Regions from separate parts of the Mus musculus genome. Here region 2 is reported to be linked to region 1. Evidence: microRNA targets listed by miRTarBase, many of them from high-throughput screens and not tested one by one. Region 1 holds a microRNA gene; the other region holds the end of a gene's coding sequence.
The links. The annotated mature microRNA mmu-miR-466f-3p reads CAUACACACACACAUACACAC and lies in region 1 at 1,804-1,824, opposite strand. An mRNA with a match to its seed (bases 2 to 7 or 8) in the 3' UTR can be bound and repressed. Matches are read on the target gene's strand: a 7mer-m8 pairs with bases 2 to 8, a 7mer-A1 pairs with bases 2 to 7 and ends in A, and an 8mer does both.

Region 2: the mRNA of Spock2 is a reported target of mmu-miR-466f-3p. Seed matches in the 3' UTR shown: 7mer-m8 at 2,335-2,341, 7mer-m8 at 2,311-2,317 and 7mer-m8 at 2,273-2,279.

Annotation. Positions count from the first base shown.
Region 1 is chr2:10,470,409-10,473,830 of GRCm38, reverse strand. Mir466f-3 (microRNA 466f-3) reads right to left here and starts at 1,878; the gene lies at 1,785-1,878. The region is part of intron 10 of Sfmbt2 (Scm-like with four mbt domains 2); the gene reads right to left. Mir669d-2 (microRNA 669d-2) reads right to left here and starts at 2,187; the gene lies at 2,102-2,187. It overlaps Mir297a-2 (microRNA 297a-2), which reads right to left and starts at 1,577; the gene lies at 1,488-1,577. It also overlaps Mir466o.
Region 2 is chr10:60,130,977-60,133,976 of GRCm38, reverse strand. Spock2 (sparc/osteonectin, cwcv and kazal-like domains proteoglycan 2) reads right to left here. Exons shown (of 11, transcript NM_052994.2): 10 at 2,756-2,893; 11 at 63-2,641. The coding sequence ends at 2,496. Among named protein-coding and RNA genes, the nearest start is that of Mir6906, 5.7 kb to the right of the region's middle.

The sequences.
Region 1 (3,422 bases):
GTTTTCATCTGGTAAGTGAGATGTTTTGCTATCCCATGAATATACACTCAATGAAACTCTAAGCATGCATAAATCAAATGGATGACTACCATGTGTGTTTGTGTGCACATGTATGTGTCCATATGTGTGTGTATATGTGTATGTATGTATGTATATATATATATATATATACACATATATATATATATATATATATGCATGTTCATATACCCACATTTACATGCACACGTACCTATACACATATACACATACACGGGGACAATCACAGAAATTCCAGGCTGTTCTCTAACTCATCATGAAGTTAAACATGAATTTGAACTCCATATTCTCCTCCCTCTGGCAACAATATTCACCTCCTAACTGAGACATAGTTCTGGCCATTCCTGTGAGTATGTGTGCATACAGCTATGTGCATATTCATGTAGAGAAGTGAATATGCACACAGCTATACACACATGCACATTCTTGGAGGGCATCACATGAATCGCATGCTGATCTCTACTCATCATGAATTAAATATGATTTTGAACTCCTCATCCTCCTGACTCTGGCAAGAGTACTCACCTCCTAACTGAGCCATAGCTCTGGCCCAGTACTGCATAAGCTCTAAAGCTCTAAGTCACATACCATTCAAAAGGATATATGAGTGGCATTCCTGTGCGTGCATGCGTGTATATGCATATTCATATAGAGAAGTGAATATGCACACAACTATACACACATGCACATTCTTGATGGACATCACATGAGTCGCATGCTGAACTCTAACTCATCATGAAGTTAAACATGAATTTGTACTCCAGGACCACCTGACTCTGGCAAGGGATTTCACCTGCTGAGTGAGACCTCTCCCTATTCAGTACTGCAGAATCTTAAAACTCTTAGTCACACGTCATTCAAATGGATCGATGAGTTGCATTCATGTTTGTGTGTCTGTGTACATGTCTATGCGTGTGTAGATATGTATATTCATATACACAATCCACACACAGGTACACGCATGTACACATACATGGGGGCATCACATGAATCCCAGGCAGATTTCTAAGTCATCATGAAATAAAGCATGAATTTGACCTCCTGACCTCCTGATTCTAACAAGCATTTTTAATATGATGGGTGATAACTCTCCCTGACCTAGTCACACATAATCTCCAAAGCTCTCAGTCACATAGATTGATGAGTGAGTGCCATTCCTGTGTGTCTATGTGCTCATATGTGTCTTATGTGTGCATGTATGTATATCATATTCACACATGTACATGTACACACACATCAACACATACACACATACATAGGGGCAATCACATGAATGCCAGGATGACCTCTAACTCATCATGCCTTTACCATGACCTTGAACTCCTGATTATCTTGACTCTGGCAAGGGTCTTTACTTGGTGAGTGAATCCTCTCCCTGGCCCAGTCATACAGAATCTCTAAGACTCTAAGACACATATCATTCAAATAGATCGATGAGTGGCAGTTTTGGGTTTGTGTGCATGCTTGTATGGGTATGTGCGTATGTATATGTATACTCATATACACACATGCACATGCACACATACATATACACACAGGCACATACACTGGGGGCATCACATGAATCAGAAGCTGATCCCGGACTCAACATGAAGTTGAGAATGAATTTCGACTCCTGATCCTCCTGACTCTGGCAAGATTTCCACCTTGTGAGTGAGAGCACTCACTGGCCCAGTACTACATAATCTCTAAAACTCTAAGTCACATATCATTCAAATGAATAAATGAGTGTCGTGTGTGTGTGTGTGTGTGTGTGTTGCGTGCGTGTGTATGTGTGTGTGTATGTATACATATATTCATATACACACATGCACATGCACACACACGTAAACACACATGCACATACATGAGGGGCATAACATGAATGTCTGGATGATCACTAACTGAAATTGAGCATGAATATGAACTCCTGATCCTCCTGACTCTGTCAACAACTTTCACCTGGTGAGTGAGACCGTTCATTGACACACTACTGCATAATCTATAAGACTCTAAGTCACATATCATTCAAATGGATCAATGAGTGCCATTCCTGTGTTTATGTTTATGTTTTTGTGTTTCCGTGCATGCGTGTGTATATGGGTGTGTATGTATATGTATATTCATATAGACACATATACATGCACACACAAGTATACACACATGCACATATATAGGGGGCATCACATGAATCCAGGATGATCTCTTACTCCTCATGAAGTTAAGCATGATTTTCAACTCCTATACCTCCTGACTCTAACAAGGGTTTTCACCAGGTGTGTGAGAATTGACACTGGCCCTGTCATACATAATCTCCAAAGGTCTAAGTCACATATCATTAAAATGCATCGATGAGTACCATTCCTACATGTATGTTTGCATGTGTGTGTATATGTGTGTATGTATATGTATATTCACATAAACACATGTACATGCATACACTTCTGCACACATGCACATAAACGGGGGACATCACATGAATCCCAGACTGATTGCTACCTCATCATGAATTTAATATGAATTTGAACTCCTCATCCTCCTGACTCTGGCAAGAGTACTTAACCTCCTAACTGAGACATAGCTCTTGATCAGTACTGCATAAGCTCTAAAGTTCTAAGTCACATACCATTCAAAAGGATATATGAGTGCCATTCCTGTGTGTGCTTGCGTGTATGTGCATATTCATATAGAGAAGTGAATATGCACACAGCTATACACACATGCACATTCTTGTTGGGCATCACATGAATCGCATGATGAACTCTAACTCATCATGAAGTTAAACATGAATTTGAACTCCAGATCCTCCAGACTCTGGCAAGCGTTTCACCTCCTAACTGAGACATAGCTCTGGATCACTACCGCATAAGCGCTAAAGCTCTATGGCACATATCATTTCAAAGGATATATGAGTGGCATTACTGTGTGTGCATGTGTGTATATGCATATTCATATAGAGAAGTGAATATGCACACAACTCTAACACATGCACATTCTTGGTGTGCATCACATCAATTGCATACTGATCTCTAAATCGTTGTGAAATTAAGCATGAATTTGAACTCCTGATCCTCCTGACTCTGGCAAGTGTTTCACCTAGTGAGTGAGACTTCTCCTTGACCCATTTATACATAGCTCTAAAACATTAAGTTACATATCATTCAAATGGATAGATGAGTATCAATTTTGAGTTTGTGTGTGTGTGTGTGTATTTGTGTGTGTCTCTGTGTGTGTGCATGTTGTGTTGGTTAGTTTATATGTGTATATTTATATGCATATATTAACATGCACACATACATATATGCACACATGCACATACATAAGAAACATCCCAGTCTGATTTCTATCTCTTCATGAAGTAAATTTTGTATTTGAACTCTCTCTTCACCTGACTCTGGCAAGTG
Region 2 (3,000 bases), not on the chromosome of region 1:
GCGTTTTAGAGAGGGACAAACTTCTGGACCCCTGGGGCCTGCCACAGTTCCACGCCTTCTGCTTTCTTACTAAAACATGTTTACTACATCAGATACAAAACCAGAAGATCCAGGGACACACAGAGCATAGCTCCCCAGCGGGGCAGGGCGGGGCAGGGTGAAAGAAGGGGATGCGTCTTCCTCTACACCACCCCCTCCCCACCCCAGAGAGCCTAAAATCCTTCACAGCTACCCGGGGATGTTCTGGAAATCCAGCTGGGGCAGAGAAAGAATCAGACTCCATCCTAGCGAGAGCAGGAAGTTTCAAGTAACTCCAGCTGGAGGGAGGAGGAAGGGGAGGAGGGGGAGGAGAGAGGGGGGCGGGATGGCTGCTTCTAGAATGCAGAGGGCTGATGTGACTGAGCCAGGGACCAGAGGATGGTTGCAGAGGTCTGAGGAAGGGAGGGAGGAAGAAGAGGATGGGAGCAGGTGACAGTCACCCGGAGAGTCAGAACTGTGTCGTGGAATGAGAAGCACTTTATGGAGCTTGGTGACATTTCCGTATTCCCCCCGAGGAGATGACGATTAAGGTGGCCATTCCAGGGTGGCAGAAAGGAATGGGAAGGAGGAGGCTCTTCCCTAAAGTCCAACCGATCAATACTCAGTGGATGTGACCAGCCAGTGCCCCTGAGAGGCTGGGGGAGAGCCAGACTGGGGCTTTGTCCTGGAAGCCTCAGCACAAGGTCCCCAGTAGCTAGCTGCCCAGCCTCTTCCACCACACAGGGGGCTGCCCTCACTCTTCCTGGGCATCAGGGTGGCCCTCGGGTATTCTCTCTCTCATTCTCTCTCATTCTCTCTCTCTTTCTCTCTCTCTCTCTCTCTCTCTCTCTCTCTCTCTCTCACACACACACACACACACACACACACACACACACACACACACGTATACGCGCCACACACACGTACGCGTACCAAAGGGTATCAGAGGCCCAGGTAAGGAATTCTTCATCAAATATATCAAGGAAATTTCCTTTGAGAGGGGGAAGTGGGGAGCAATAGACACACAAAACCCCACAGGACATCTGGGTAAAAGCCCCTTCCACCCGGCCTGGAGGTCTGAGGGCGTGCTGAGGCATGGCATCAGGGCCTAGCTGCTCAGTGTGGTCCCCTCTGATAGATACACCGTTCTCTATTCATATATGCTATAGGGCTTTAAATAGAGTCTGGGGCATGGTTCTTCTAGGGCCATCTTGGGGACCCTTGAGACAGAGGAAAGTCATGGCTGAGAGGACTAAGGCTTTGGGGCCTCTCCTCCAGGACCTTCTGGGCACAGGAAGTCACAGCTCCCCGTGGTTCCTCACAAGGGTCTCGGGGACACGCCCTTCTATTGGTCGGGGCAAGAGGGAACCATTTCCTAGAGGGTCAGGGAGAAGGTGAGCAGACACGGGCTGCTTGCTGGTCCTCTGCTCCTTGGGACAAGGGGGACCCTCGCCAGGGAACAGAGAGTGCAACTGCAAGCCCTCATAGCAGGCTACTCCAAATCTCAGCTATATGATGACAGTCCCCATTCGCCAAGAAAGCAGCCCAGAGCCCCATGAGGCCACAGGTGCTGACTGGGTTAATCTGAGGCCTGAAATCAAGGGACCCATTGTCCTCTGTCTCATGATTTCTGCCTCTTCTGCTGAGCTATCTCTGGTTACTCGGGACTAGGTTGAGAGATAATCTATCAGGGATGTCCATGCTTTTGACATTGTGACAGAGGATTAACTCCTCAATCCAATTATCAACAAACAAACTAACAAAAAACAAACAGCAACAAAACCCCTGTGTTTTAAGTAAGTTTACCTCTTTGTGTTGGGCCACAGAGACAGCTATGCTTAACCACGTGCAGCCCAAGGGCCATTAGACACACCTGCGACGAGCTCTTCGGATGTCAGGAGACGGATAGTAAGCCTTGCTGTGTGTACAGGTCCTGCCTCATCACCACAAGACCGTGGTGGGGCTTTCATATCAAATCAGCCCAATTTGGGGAGGACGCTCAGCTTTCAGCTGCCTGCCCTCCCTCCCTCTCCCTGGCCTCAGAAGAGGAAGGAAGAAAGGCAGGATGGGGTAGGGCTGATTAGGCAGGGCAGGGATTCCAGGTGTTGGGCTGAGGGGCAGGATCAGGGACATCTCATTGATTTTGGTCTGTTAGTGTATCCTTGTGTGTGAAAGTGTGCATTTGAAAATCAATAACATAGGGACCTTTGGGTGACTCACATCACACACACACACACACACACACACATCTCACATACACACATCTCACATCACACACTCACATCTCACATCATACACACACATCTCATATCACACATACACACAAGCCACACTCCCCAGTCCTCCCCCACTGGAGCCAGGGTCCTCCGCACTGACTTCCGGATCCATTTGCTAAGTTGCCTGCTGTTGTCCAGGTCTCTTCTGGCCTGTCTTTCTGGCCGTCGGCACCCTGGCCTGCCGAGGCCGTCGAGGGCTATCTACCAGATGTAGCCTCCATCATCTGCCTCACCCGCCTCACCCTCCTCCTCCTCGGCCTCCTCCCCTGCCTCTTCTGTCTCCTTTTCTTCCTCATCCTCCCAGCCAACGCCGCTTCCAAAGTCCCCGGAGAAACCCACGATGTCATCTGTTGGGAAAGCACACGAAAGGCCGGTAAGGAACCCACACACTGTGTCTACTTTCTGAGCCTGGAGTCCTGCCCCACGTACGCCACCCTGAGAACTAGCCGCATGCTCCTTACCACAGTCAGGGGTCCCATGCATGCGTGTGCCGGTCAGCTCCAGGCCCAGCTGGTCCACACACCAGCAGTCACCTCTGCTCTGGTCACACTGCATCTTCCGGTAGTAGCCATCTTCATCACAGCTCGGGATGAAGACACCTGAGGGTTAGGGCAAAGAGCCCGTAGTGTGGGCTCTGGAGTCGTGTGCGAGCAGGGGCCTCGATGGCCTGAGAACCTGGCCAGCTTGGTACTGATACCCACCCCCT